Linked DNA regions of Elephas maximus indicus. The protein of the gene in region 1 interacts with the protein of each later gene in a biochemical or structural test. Links are inferred from orthologs where the notes say so. Each region holds a gene or a part of one and is shown in the gene's direction. Other genes may lie near its edges.

Region 1 (7,570 bases):
ATATTTTCCCCACAGAATCCTTCACTATTGCAACTTGAGGCTTGGATTTTTTTCTTCAGTTCTTTCAGCCTGAGAAACGCCGAGCATGTTCTTCCCATTTGGTTTTCTATCTCCAACTCTTTGCACATGGCATTATAATACTTTGTCTTCTCGAGCCACCCTTTGAAATCTTCTGTTCAGTTATTTTACTTCATCATTTCTTCCTTTTGCTTTAGCTGCTCGATGTTCGTGAGCAAGTTTCAGAGTCTCCTCTGACATCCATCTTGGTCTTTTCTTTATTTATATCTGTATACCCCCCCAACCTTAATCAGGATTCTGCTATAAATTCCTTGATCAAAATGTTCAGTAATGGTAGCTGAGCACCATCCAGTTCTTCTGGTTTCATGGCAAAGGAGGCAGTTGTTCTTGGGGGCAATTAGCCACACATTCCATATCTTCCTCCTAATCCTGACTGTCCTCCTTTCTCTGTTGCTCCACATGAATAGAGACCAATAGAACTATCTATATGGAATCAGACAGAACTATCTATATGGGATCAAATTGATAACAGCAACTGGAAAGATTAAATAGGAATCTTAGGAGTCCGTGAATTTACATTAATGAGGGAGGAACAATTCAGAAAAGGAGGGTGAGAATGGTTGCACAACTGGAAGAATGTAATCAGTGTCATTGAATTGTACATGTAGAAACTGTTGAATTGGTGTGTATTTTGCTGTGTATGTTCTCAACAATAACAACAAAATAAATAAAATTTAAAAAGATACTACCTTTTGCATAAGTCATTTTGTGCTGCTTCTGCCTGTATAATTTTGTGACAGATTTCTAGAACTGAGATTGTTCATGTGAATGTACATGTAACTTTTCCAAGCTCCCTTTGCTGGCGTTGTAATCACTTTGTAGTCTAACCAAAGATCTATGAGAGATCCTATTTCACTATAGCATAAGCAACCCCGTCTGTTGTTAAACTTCTGATTTTCATTAATGGATAGATGAGAGATGTTATCTCGATATGGATTTAATTTTCCATTTCTTTTAATATGAGTGCATATAAGGGTACTGGGTTTTGAAATAGGAAAAAAGTAAGCAAAGCCCTGGGATGACCAAGAGCCTGAGCATGCACCCAATTATTTCCTACCAAGGAGTTTCTGGGTGATGCAAATGGTTAATGCGCTCAGCTCCTAACTGAAAAGTTGGAAGTTCAAGTCCACCCACAGGTGCCTGGGAAGAAAAGCCTGGTGATTTACTCCCAAAAACAAATCAGCCGTTGAAAATCCTATAGAGCACAATTCTACTCTGACACACATGGGGTTGCCATGAGTTGGAATCAATTTGATGGCAGTGGGTTTGTTTTGTTATGTCAAAAAGCATCCTTACAGCAAGCTTGGTACCCAATTTTGTCTTCCAACAGTAATAATTCTATCCTCAATTGCTATAATTCCTCTGGAATTAAGTTAAGACTTGCCCAAGACCACACAAGTAACAAGAAGATAAACTTGGATTTGAAAGCCTATCTCTCTGATATCAGGTTCCCTGGTTAGTGAAACTCCACTACACCAACAGCAGAACAGTGAGGTTTCCAAGGAAGAACAAAGATCTGCAACAAGGACGTTTCCTGGAAGGACAGCTAGTAGGCAGAAGAGCAAGATGAAATAACTTTCTGGAAAGTGACTTCACTAGGATTGGTGTCATCCAGTGTGGTAACTCATAAAGTCACCCGGCTGGGGTGCGGAGGGCGGATGTCAAACCTCCCCAGCTCCCAGTGGGTGGAGGGGCCCAGTCCCACCCCGCCCCGATGCAGGGCCAAGTTCTGAGCTGCCTGGCCCTGCCCCTTCCAGTCCTGCAGCCCCACAGCTCCCTGCAAATCTCTTCCTTTCTCTCACTGGTCAAGGCAGAGACCCTGACTGGCAGTTGAGGTGGGGGGTAGTGCTGAGTTACCACAGTGGGGGATGGGTGACACCATCTCTACTGATGCCATGCCTTGGCAGCCTCTCTCCGGTCTGCCTGCCGCTGCCACCACCATGGACCCTGCGGTCGTTTGTTGTCAGCCCCTCTGATAGTATCTGGGTCAAGACTACACAGAGCTCTTGAGAAGGAGAAATAAGGATGAGTCATGAGCACATGTTTATAGATATGTACTTGAGATATATAGTGATTCCCACAGATATTTGGTGAGGCAGCTGGATAAAGGGAAAATGATTCACTTAAACAGTAGTTTATACAGATGGACATCATGTGATGGTAACTGTGAGAGCTAAGTAAATGCAATCAAATTAAAAAATTGGATTATAGGTATGATTGCATGGCTTATTTTATCTGAAATTAATGCTACATCAGGTGGTCTGGTTGCGCAAAGAGGCTTTGGGAATTACTCTCAGGGCTAACTCTCACTCTCAGAAAACAAAAGCCATGTGACTACCTGCCTTTCCCAAGAGTATCCACTGATCAAGATGGAAAAGTCTCAGCAGCCTAAAAAAAAAAAAAAAAAGGATTTTCTCATCAGCACTACGTGCCCTGGTCTAAACGGGGTGTCTCTGGCTGGATAGTTTTTTTTTTTTTTGGTCTTTCTTCATGGGGACAGATCACTGCTGTCCCCCAGAATGGGAACTCCATAGGAACTGGGGGTTTCCAAACCCAAGCCCAATATCTTCTTTTCTTCCACCTGGAAGAAGCATTCCTGCGGTAAGTTTTCGTACCCAGTTATCCCTTCCACTTGTACCAGTCACTCCCCCAAAAGGCACAATGCCTGAGGATGTTAAAAATAGCCTTTTTCCCTCGGTGGCTAGGAGCCTTAGTCACGAAATGGACTGTCCTTCCCAGTGGTGTCCAGTTGATTTCTCTTCGCATTGATGTCTTCTATTTTTCATGTAATTTGACCCATGGAAATGTCATCCTTTCAATTTTCCCATTGTGTCTGGACAAATCTGAATTCATTCAGCATTCAAATACCTTTAAAAAAATTTCTTTTATTGTGCTTTAAGTGAAAGTTTACAGTTGAAGTTAGTTTCTCATACAAAAATTTATACACACATTGTTATGTGACCCTAGTTGCTCTCCCTATAATATGATAGAACACTCCTTCTTTCCACACCAGGTTTCCTGTGTCCATTCAACCAGCTTCTGTCCCCTTTGGCCTTATTATCTCACCTCCAGACAGGAGCTGCCCATTTAGTCTCATGTGTCTACTTGAGCTAAGAAGCACTCTCTTCATGAGTATTATTTTATGTCTTATAGTCCAGTCTATTCTTTGTCTGAAGAGTTGGCTTTGGGAATGGTTTCAGTTCTGGATTAACAGAGAGTCCAGGGTCCATGTCTTCTTCCAGAGTCCCTCTAGTCTCAGTCAGACCATTAAGTCTGGTCTTCTTAATAGAATTTGAGTTGTGCACCCCACTTTTCTCCTGCTCTGTCAGAGACTCTCTGTTGTGTTCCCTGTCAGGGCAGTCATTGGTGGTAGCCAGGCACCATCTAGTTCTTCTGGTCTCAGCCGATGGAGTCTCCGGTTTATGTGGCCCCTTTTGTCTCTTGGGCTAATATTTTCCTTGTGTTTTTTGTGTTTTTCATTCTCCTTTGCTCCAGGTGGGTCAGGACCAATTGACCTATCTTAGGCAGCCGCTCCCTAGCTTTTAAGTCTCTAGATGCCAGTCACCAAAATAGGATGCAGAACATTTTCTTAATAACCTTTGTTATGCCAATTGACCTAGATGTCCTCTGAAACCATGGTCCCCCAGACCCCTGTCCCTGCTACTCTGTCCCTCAAAGTGTTTGGTTGTGTTCAGGAAACTTCTCAGCTTTTGGTTTAGTCCGGTTGTGCTAACTTCCCCTGTATTGTGTATTGTCCTTCCTTTCACCTAAAATAATTCTTATCTACTATCTAACTCATGAATACCTTTCACCCTCCCTCTCCTTCCTCCCCACCCTCATAACAGCATCCAAATACTTTTTGAGCACCCATTCTGGGCTAAGCATGGCTAATCATAGGTAGCTTCAGCAGAAAATGGGCAGCTGTTATAGCAAAAGCGGTGGTGCTCTCTCAGGAGAGGATCCTAGCAGCCAGAGGAGGCAAAGCCTAGCAATATAGGGTGATACACAAGGCTGCAGCCCAGTTCTGGGAAGCTTAACTTCAGCATTGCAGCCCCAGCCATTGAACATCACTGTTTCCACTATGTGCTAGAAAGTGTTCCCATCCGATTCTATGAGTCAAAGAAACTTACACTCAAGCCTTTTATATACTGAAATGGCTTGGTCACTTCATCACCCCCGCCCCTCTCACTTCCTGAAGCTGGCTGAGTCTCACAGAGAAACTTCATCTCACTCCCACTGGCCAGAAAAGGAAGAAGTGTTTCCATAGTTACGTCAGGCCAGCTGCCTCCACTTCCCTCCTTAGAGCTGGCCCTCGAATTGGGGCTGGATTTCAGGCCGACAAGGTGGCCTGTGATACGACGGGGCTCTCCATGGATCTACCTTACTACCACGGCCCCTTGACCAAGAGAGACTGTGAGATCTTGCTGCTCAGGGAAGGAGTAGATGGCAACTTTCTGTTGAGGGACAGCGAGTCGGTGCCAGGAGCGCTGTGCCTCTGTGTCTCGTGAGTAACCTTACAGTCAAATACTACATCAAATGTAGTGATGGCAACCAAATATAAAAGGAATTGCATTTCACTCTGACTTTGCAACCCAAATGAGTCGAGTGAGGACTGGGAGAGGTTGGAAAGAAGGCGTCTGTCCCTGCTCTTCCATCTGCCCTCTCTCTCCCTGATGTAAATGCCACCTAAGCAGAGCCTCTGGGTGAAGGAGAGGGCTGCAGGAAGCATGGGAGGTGAGGGGGAGTGGGGAGAAGGTAGAAAAGTGAGAAAGATTCTCTTCTCTAGAAGTCTGTTTATTTGGTATGGAATAGGTTGGGCACCCTTTTGAGATTTCAATCTGAGAGACCAAGTTTTTACATGTATTCTGCTGCCTCTACTTGGAATACTTAAATTATAATAATATTTCACAATTTTTATTCAGATTAGTAAAGGACTTCAACAAGTGTCATTTCCTTGTACACTTCTTGTGTACATAAGCGGCCACCATTTTGTATGTAAGGAAACAGAGACCTGAATGTCTCAAATGACTTGCTTGTGTTAAAACTCATCTGGTGTTTCCAAAAAGTTTGAATTGAGTAAGGAATTCCAGCCCAGGGTATCAGAGCTACCTTGCTGAGGGAACTTGTTTATGCTCAGTTTAAAAAAGCAATCCCAAACAGTTATCAGTAGACACCTCCTATCTTTGTGTGCTCTTCTCTTTGTAGAGTCCACTGACACTTTTCTTCTATTAAAGGAATTAAAACCCAGGTGTCTCTATGGGAGCTACTCAGAAAAAAGTGATTGTCATTACTGTCTTGACAACAAGGAGTTTTTGGATTTCTCCTCACTTATCGACTATCTTGTTATCTGACATTTTGCATTTATGACAACAGGAAAAAATCGACTATCCTACTATTTTACCCATTAACAACGTATGTTGGGTAGTAATAATGCTGGAGTGTGAGGCAAGAGTAATGCTGGCTTTTATGGTTAAGGTTATGTGTCCGCTTGACTGGGCCATGATACTCAGTGGGTTGGCAGTTATATAATGACGTAATCTGGCAGTTATGTTGTGATGTAATCATTCTCGATTTTGCCATCGGATGTGGACATCCTCCTTTTTCGTGTAACACTGATTTCACATAATGACCTGGTCTTTGGAACCTAACCATGTCGATAAGAAAGGAGAGGGTGTATTAACAGATAGAATCCAGTAGCCCATTAAAGGAGAAAACACACTATGACCAAGTGTGGTCCAATCCATCAAAGATGAATTGATTCCATATTAGGAAAATGATGCATCTAATTAAGGTGCCACAGTGGCACAGTGGTTAAAACACTTGGCTCCTAACTGAAAGTTCAGTGGTTTGAACTCACCAGCTGCTCCACAGGAGAAATATGTGGCAGTATGGTTCTATAAAGATATACAGCCTTGGAAATTCTACGAGGCAGTTCTGCTATGGCCTATAGTGTCATTATGAGTCAGAATCAACTCCACAGCAGTGGGTCAGGTCAAGTCATGCATTTAATTAATTTGAGTTATTGATTAATTATTAACTTAATTGATTAAATTAAACATATTGACATGAATAGGTCAATAGTTACAAATGATATGACTCACTCAAATTTGCTTAAAATGTATTAGATAAAATTCAGATTAAACATCCTATTTACATTAGCAAAAATAGTAACATGCAGGAATAAATGTACTATGACATGTGTAAGACTGACTTAAATATCTACTGGGAAGCTTACAAAAAATCTTGAATGAATGGAAGGTCTCAAGTTTGGAAGCTTGTCTGTTCACCTTAAATTAATCTAAAATATTCCATATGTTTCCAGGAGAAAAGACAGATTTTTTTAAAAATTTGCTGCAAGGACAGTGAAGTTGACCTAGGTTAGGGGTAGAACATGGAACCTGCTGGAATAGCCAAAGATTCTTTAATTTAAAAAAGAAAGACTAGCTCTACCAAATATTAAAATATTAATACATTATAAAACTATAGTAATTACTACAGAAATTGAAAGAGTTTGGTACTGACAGATCAATAAAATAGAATATAGAATCCAGAAACAAGGTCAAGTACACATGGAATTTAGCATTTGCTAAAAAGAGTGTTTCGAATCAAAGAGGAAAAGATGAATGATGACTAATGGGCACTTGACTAGTCACTTAGAAAAAAGTAAACCTAGATCCCTTAAAATGAAATTAATTCAAAATGGTTCTAATACTTAACTTATTTTTTAAAAAATGAAATCACAAATATTAAAACACAAATTATTAAAAAAAAAAAAGTCCTGGAATTGAGAAAGCCTTTCTAAGCAAAAAAATGAGATGCAGAAACCATAAAAGAATGACAAACGTGACCATAGTAAAAAAAAAAAAAACTTAAAAGACTATTGACAAAAAAAATAATAATTTTTATTAACATATAAAGAACTTTAAAAAAATCAATAGAAAAATAGAAAGCATACGAGCAGGAGATTCTCAGAAAAGAAAGATATGGAAAAATGCTACAGCTCACTCATAATTAAAGAAATACAAGTTAAAACAACACCAAAAAAAAAAAAAAATCCAAACCCATTGCCGTAGAGTCGATTCCGACTCATAGAGTACCTATAGGACAGAGTAGAACTGCCCCACAGGGTTTCCAAGGAGTAGCTGGTGAATTTGAACTGCTGATGTTTTGGTTAGCACCTGAGTTCTTAACCACTGCACCACCAGGCCCCTAAGAATAGTAAGATGCCATTTTTTCCTATTCAATGGACAAGAATTCAAACTGTGAAAATGCCTAGAGGAATTAGAGTGTTGGGAAACAGTCTTGCACACTTTGATACAACCTGTTTGAATCATAAAAAAACTCATTGCCATCGAGTCGATTGTGACTCATGGTGACCCAATAGGACAAAGTAGAAAAGCCGTGAAGTGACTGGTGGGTTCAAAATGCTGACCTTTAGGTTAGCAGCTCAGCACTTAACCATTGCACCGCCAGGCCTTCTTTGAATGGTAAT
Region 2 (7,583 bases), about 2.3 Mb from region 1:
GCACTGCATCTGTTTGTTGAAACGTCTCAATTGATATTCCATCAATTCCTGGAGCATTGTTTTTCACCAATGCCTTCAGTGCAGCTTGGGCTTCTTTCCTAAATACCATCAGTCTTTGATCATATGCCACCTCCTGGAATGGTTGAACATCGACCAGTTCTTTTTGTTACAGTTACTGTGTATTCCTTCTATCTGCTTTTGATGCTTCCTGCATTGTTTAATATTTTGCCCATAGAAACTTTCCAAATTGCAGCTCGAGACTTGAATTTTCTCTTCAGTTCTTTCAGCTCGAGAAATGATGAGCATGTTCTTCCCTTTTAGTTTTCTAACTCCAGGTCTTTGCACATTTCATTGTAATATTTTACTTTGTCTTCTTGAGCTGCCCTTTGAAATCTTCTGTTCAGCTCTTTTACTTCATCATTTCTTTCATCTGCTTTAGCTACTCTATGTTAAGCGCAAGTTTCAGAGTCTCTTCTCATATCCATTTCTTTTCTTTCATGTCTTTTTAATGACCTTATGCTTTCTTTACTTATCATGTCCTTGATATCTTCCCACAACTCGTCTGGTCCTCAGTCATTAGTGTTCAATGCTTCAAATCTGTTCTTGAGATGGTCTCCAAATTCCTGTGAGATATACTCGAGGTAGCATTTTGGTGCTCAAGAACCTGTTTTAATTTTCTTCAGCTTCAACTGGAACTTGCGTATGAGCAATTGATGATCTGTTGCATATTCAGTCCCTGGCCTCGTTCTGACTGATGATATTGAGATTCTCCATCGTGTCTTTCCACAGGTGTAGTCTATTTGATACCTGTGTTTTCCATCCTGCCTTGGTTATCTAGTGCTGCCGTAACAGAAATGCCACAAGTGAATGGCTTTAACAGAGATTTATTCTCTCACGATCTAGCAGGATAGAAGTCTGAATTCAGGGCGCCAGCTCCAGGAGAGGGCTTTTTCTCTCTGTTGGCTCTGGAGGAACGTCCTTGTCACTAATCTTCCCCTGGTCTAGAAGCTTTTCAGCACAGGGACCCAGGGTCCAAAGGACGCTCACTTCTGCCTCTTCTTGCTTGGTCCTAATGAGGTCCCCCTTGCCCCCGCTTGCTTCCCTCTTTTTTATCTTAAAAGAGATTGACTTAAGATGCAACATAACCTTGTAGATTGAACCCTGCGTCATTAACATAACTGCCTCTAATCCTGCTTCATTAACATCATAGAGGTAGGATTTACAACATACAGGAAAATCACATCAGATGACAAAATGGTAGACAATCACACAATACTTGGAATTATGGCCTAGCCAAGTTGACAGATATTTGGGGGGGACACAATTCAATCCATGACACACCCAGTGAGATTCATGTGTACAGTTTCTGTTTATGTTGTTGAAAAAAGGTATTTGCAATGAAGAAGTTGTTGGTCTTGCAAAATTCTATTGTGTCATCTCTGGCGTCATTTCTAGCACCTAGACCATGTTTTCAATTACTGATCCTTCTTTGCTTCCAATTTTCACATTCCTATCACCAGTAATTATCAATGCATCTTAACTGCATGTTTGATCAACTTCAGACTACAGAAATTGGTAAAAATCTTCAATTTCCTCATCTTTGGCATTGGTGGTTGGTGGGTAAATTTGAATAATAGTCATATTAACTGATCTTCCTTGGAGGCGTATGGATATTATCCTATCAATGTCAGCGTTATACTTCAGGATAGATCTTGAAATGCTCTTTTTGACAATGAATGTGATGCCATTTCTCTTCAATTTTCATTCCCATCATAGCAGACCATATGATTGTCTAACTCAAAATGGCCAATACCAGTCCATTTCAGCTCACTAATGCCTAGGATATCAATGTTTATGTGTTCCATTTTTGATGACTTCCAATTTTCCTAGATTCATACTTTCTACATTCCATGTTCCAATTATTAATGGACGTTTGCAGTTGTTCCTTCTCATTTTGAGTCATACCACATCAGCAAAAGAAGGTTCTGAAAGCTTGACTCCATCTACATCCTTAAGATTGACTCTACTTTGAGGACACAGCTCTTTCCCAGTCATCTTTTGAGTGCCTTCCAACCTGAGGGGCTCATCTCCTGGCACTATATCAGACAGTGTTTTGCTGCTATTCATAAGGTTTTCTCTGGCCAATTCTTTCAGAAATAGACTGCCAGGTCCTTCTTCCCAGCCTGTCTTAGTCTGGAAGCTCTGCTGAAACCTGTGCACTAAAGGGTGGACCTGCTGATATTTGAAGTACCGGTGGCAAAGCTTCCAGTGTTGCAGTAACATGCTTCATAAACACTCCCACCAGCTGAGTTCAAGCTACCAACATGATGCCTTAGAATGTGCAGTTGGGGAGAGAGGTCCAACAGCACCCATGGCATAGTATTTGCACCGTGATAGGTGTAAATAACCTCAGGGGCATAGATAATAGTAAAATCTGGGTTAACGAAGAAGAATGTAGCATCAGAATTGGTGGAAGACTTATTAACAACCTGCAATATACAGATGACACAACCTTGCTTGCTAAAAGTGAAGAGGACTTGAAGCACTTACTGATGAAGATCAGAGAATACAGCTTTCAATATGGATTATGCCTCAACATAAAGAAAACAAAAAAACCTCACAACTGGACCAAGAAGCAACATCATGACAAATGGAAGAAATATTGAAGTTGTCAAGGGTTTCATTTTACTGGAATCCACAATCAATGCCCATGGAAGCAGGAGTCAAGAAGTCAAACAATGTATTGCATTGGGCAAATCTGTTGCAAAAGACCTCTTCAAAGTGTTGAAAAACAAAGATGTCACTCTGAGCACTACGGTGTTTCTGATCCAAGCCTTGATATTTTCAATCTCCTCGTATGAGTGGGAAAGCTGGACAGTGAATAATGAAGACTGAAGAAGAATTGATGCCTTTGAATTATGGTGTTGGCAAGAATATTGAATATGCCATGAACTACCAGAAGAACAAACAAGTATGGCTGCGAAGAAGTACAGCCAGAGTTCTCCTTGGAAGGGAGGGTGGTGGGATTTCATCTCATGTACTTTGGAGATGTTATCAGGAGGGACCAGTCCCTGGAGAAAGACATCATGCTTGGTAGGGTAGAGGGTTAGCAAAAAAGAGGAAGACCCTCAATGATATAGACTGACACAGTAGCTACAACAGTGGGCTCAAACATAGCAATGATTGTGAGAATGGCACAGGACTGGGCAAGGTTTCATTTTGTTATACATAGGGTCACTTGAAGTCAGAACCAACTCGATGGCACCTAAAAACAACAAAATAATTTTGAGTTTTTATTCCCTTTATTTTTAATATAATTTATTTAACCACAAGTTTATATAATTTAATTTTTGATAATGACCATTTTTTACCAACCAGCTCACAGATTCCTGAAAATTTAGCAATTGTACCTCATTAGTCGGTAATGCTGGCTCCAGCACACCACTGGGTAGTGGCGTGGTAGGGGATGGTTGGGTACTGGGAGATAGAAGGGAGAAAACAGGATAAATAGCAAGTTCACAATATCATCAGCTCTTATCACCTGGACCCCTTAGAGGCCTATCAGAAAGTGTCTCTGCCCTATTGAAATCAACTTTTCTGAAACACTAGCCTTGCCTTACAAGGCCTTCTTCGTGAGCACTGGGAGTAGAACCTTCCTTTGTCCCACTCTTACAGCTTGACTCATGAAAAAGCACAGGGTCTTTCTTCTGGCAATTCTAGCCCCCTCTCCTCAGCAGACACAAGTTCTAAAATAAAGGTGACTCCTTCAACCACAGCTTGGAGCTCACTAAGATTTACCACATTGTACCCAGCAGAGAAGATGAGTTTTTGCCAAGTGATCCGCACTTGCCCACCTGTGATTGTGGCACCAAAACCAAAAAAAAAAAAAAAAACAACTAAACCAATTGCTGTCAAGTCGCTTCCAACTCGTGGTGACCCCATGTGTTTCAGAGTAGAACTGCAGTCTACAGGATTTCCAAGGCTGTGACCTTTCAGAAGCAGATGGCCAGGCCTTTCTTTTGAGGTGCCTATGGGTGGATTTGAATCATCAGTCTTATGGTTAGTAGCTGACCACTTAACTATTTGCACCACCCAGTGACTCCTGACTGTGGCACCAGGTACCTACATTTAGAGTTGTTCTGCAAAATTATGGGGCAAATGAGAAGTAAGGGTCCCACGCTCATCCAAGTTCAGCCATCCAAGTTGGACTTTGAACTAACTCATCCAAATTTGGAAATGGGTCTGACAAAACCCCACATTCACTATAGACCTGAGCACAAAGAAGACTTTCTTTGCACTCAAAGAAAAGTTAGCAGATAGAACTTCCCAGAGAACTGTGACACCACTTTCCAAGAAACAGCTAAGAAAATGCAAGGGGTGTATATTTCTACCAAAAGCTGGGGTTTGGTTGAGATGACTCGGCATAGCCCCCTTCCTGGCTCCAGTAGTCTAAGCGCCTGACTCGTACTTCTTGAGAACAACAAAGTGATTTAAAGTCTAAAGAGAGATGAGCAATCCTCAATACACAGGCAGAAAAAGTCCCTCTGAGACAGGAAGCTGCTGCATAGCCTTGCTGGCAGAGGCAGCGCTGTCTGACATGTAGATCTTCTGCCCTGGTGTGTCTGTAAGCAGCTGCCGGACTCCTGGCAAGCTCCCTTTTCTCTCCTTCCTGACTGATGGATCCCAAGGGGCTCCTCTCGTTGAACCTCCTGCTATTGCTTTCTCTGGCTTCTGAGCTGAGCTGCGGAACAGGTGAGTGTTCATCTGTTTGAGGTTTTGGATACTATGATGACCTGCTAGGAATCAGCACAGCCCTGTGGATAGAGAAAAGATGCAGGGGCTGGGGGCTGTGGCCGGCTCTCTCTTCCTTAGGGACTGGCTCTGAGTTCTCCAGCATCTTTGAAAAAGGAAGGAAGGAACATTATGAGTTCCTGGGCTCCTACTAAGGCTCAGCCTCACCAATCCTAGTTCCCAGGGAAACTGGGAGCTCTAATCCAAAGGTACTGGTCACATTGTAGACCAGCCTTTCCGGGCGAGAGGTTCTGGTTGAAATCTTGGTTGAGTGGTTGGTTTTGCATGGGTTACCATTCTGGCAAAGACCCAGGCTAGAGAAACTAAGCTGGAGGGGCAAAGCTCTGAGAGATTAATCCTATATCTCTGCCCTGAAGGAGATGCTGCACACACACTAGCAGACAAACCAGGAACATGGTCCAACAAGAAGGAGGGGGTCAGAGCGGGAAGGAGAGGTAGAAGTGAAAACCTCAGGTCTTCAGCTAAGAACAGACTGTGGCCACAGTGTGGTCACTGATGGCTATTTCCTAGAAGAGAAGTTTCCATGGTAGAAAGGAGGGGAGAAGCCAGGATTTCTGGAGCCCAGGGCTAATTATGGTAAGTGGGAAATGCAAATCTGGAGCCTTCAGGGTCAGTGCAGCTCCAGCAGCTGGACCATATAAATAGCAGAGCATTTGGAGCTGGGTCCTGCTCTTGTCTTTTGCCTGTCTTCCTCCAAAGGTAAGCTAGGGTTCTCCATTCAGTATTATCAGGGTTATGAGAAACGGTACTTGAGGGGGAAAAAGTGAAGCTAGAAGTGCACCTTGGGCTGGCTGTGTGAGTAGGGGGTGAGCATCAATTCCTTTCTGCTTAAATGCCTTGGGGCTTTGGTTAGAGTGTAGGAGACAACCTGGAGTAGAAGCGGCATCAGGGAAGGGGGGAAATCCTGACACCCAGGGTGTTTTGGCCTTGGGGTTTTCAAGATGGCAAATCCATCATGGACTTTTCTAGGAAAAGCCCCGGGATATGCCAGGGATGTGTGGGAGCTGCGGATGTGGACTCTCTCTTGCCAGACTCCCAGATGAGGAGGCCCAGAGGGTGCCTGAGCCTTTGCTATGCCTCACTTTACCTCAGAATCAGGCAGACCCCAAGGCTCTTACTTCCTGAGGCCTAGGAGAGGAAGAATGGAACTCAGGACTCAGAAAGCCAAAATGAGCCACTTAAAGTTGTCATAGGAGAGCCAAGTCTTCCTTGGTGGACCATCTTTCTTGGAGTACTTGTTGGTGACTACCAGGAGTGACTGGGTTGAAGTGTTGCCTGGGCTTTTTCATCTCTGGGCTTGTTTGGCTCCTGATCAGTCTAGCCCATGGCACCTCCAGGTTCTGCTGACAGCTGCTTCACTGCGCACTTTGGGAGTCAATGGTTAGTGAGAAAACAGCCCAGCCTGATAGGAGCCTCCACCCAATTAGCAGCTACTCCCTTCTTTGCATTCTGTCTTCTCCGAAATATGTACAAAATTTTTTTCAGTATTTTTATTTTTAAATACACACCATTTTGTGAAACCCCAATAAAACCCAGGCGGAAATGCTTTGCACATGAGATAGGTCAGCCATGACAGATTTACTCAACCAAGAAGACTGATTTCTTGTAAAATCCATACCCACTCTCCTTCCCATCTCAACTCAGCTCACCTTCCAGGCAGAATTCTAAAAATTAAAAAGTCTACTGACCCATCCCCAAATAAGTGGGTTTTCCATTTCACCCAGGGAGCTCTTTTATTTTTTCAGGCATGCCTTCCCCAGCCTCTTCACACACACTAGGGGAGAGGTGAGGGACAAGTAGGTGGGTGCTATACTTGGCCCAAATTTGTCTGTTCACTGACCCATTCTATCCCAAGACGTAGACTTAGTGCTTCCATCTCTTGAAAGTTGCATACGGTAATATGAAGCCATCACTTTTGGCATCTCCAGCTCTTGGCTAGAAATCAGAACATCGGGGCTATTTGGTTTCATCCACAAAATAATTTGAATGATTCCATTCAGCCACTATCTATTGAGGACACATGATGTAAGGTGTGGGAGAAATAAAGCAAACAACCACAACCTCTGCCCAGCACTTGACACAGTGCCTGGTCCTGAGAGTTTTTCCATAAATATTTGTTGAATGAAAATAGTAGCATGTATTGCATGCTTACTGTATGCCAGGCACTGCTTCAACTTCTTTATGTGTATTATTCATTTAATTCTTACACCAACCCTATAGGATATGTACTGTGACTACTAGCATTAACATTTTATAAATAAAAAAAGAGGCCCAGAGTGGGTCTAGTGATTTCTCCACTGTCACATAGCTTGACTCCAGAGACTACTGTCTCAACGAAGGAAACTGAATGAGTTTATATTTGGTGAAGGGAGGCTTCAATCTGTACCTATATCCCTTAGTAAAAATTAGAATATACTACTATAATTGAAGTATATGGAACATGCCATAGAATTTTTAAAATATGAGAGACTTGGATAAAATTTAGAAGGATTTGATCTGGAATTCGGAAAGTGGATAGAAACTTTTTTTGTCATGCAATTTTTCACTTAAATTTTCTGTTAAGTGGTTTATTTATTGGGAGAGTATCACACAAATATCTGTAAAACCTAAACAATTCAAAAAGGTGTGAAGTAAAGACTTACTCTCCCTCCCATCCCTCTTCCTGAAGGCATACACTGTTACCAGGTTCTTGTGTGTCCTTCCAAATATATATGTCTATTGGGTTGAATTTTTGTGGTATTTGAAAAAATAGTATTCTAGATGAAGGCACA

Evidence for each region.
Region 2: the proteins of SH2D1B (region 1) and SLAMF1 interact in a test that uses a peptide from one of them, tested with the Homo sapiens proteins (2 studies listed by BioGRID). The link is inferred for Elephas maximus indicus from reciprocal best matches to the Homo sapiens genes SH2D1B and SLAMF1.

The regions. Positions count from the first base shown.
Region 1 is NC_064821.1:201,677,165-201,684,734, reverse strand, and holds the start of SH2D1B (SH2 domain-containing protein 1B), read left to right. Parts: upstream 1-4,376; 5' UTR 4,377-4,448; coding exon 4,449-4,582; intron 4,583-7,570. UniProt on the Homo sapiens protein: Cytoplasmic adapter regulating receptors of the signaling lymphocytic activation molecule (SLAM) family such as CD84, SLAMF1, LY9 and CD244. In SLAM signaling seems to cooperate with SH2D1A/SAP.
Region 2 is NC_064821.1:199,406,606-199,414,188, reverse strand, and holds the start of SLAMF1 (signaling lymphocytic activation molecule), read left to right. Parts: upstream 1-4,571; 5' UTR 4,572-4,676; coding exon 4,677-4,752; intron 4,753-5,220; exon of another isoform or gene 5,221-5,388; intron 5,389-7,583.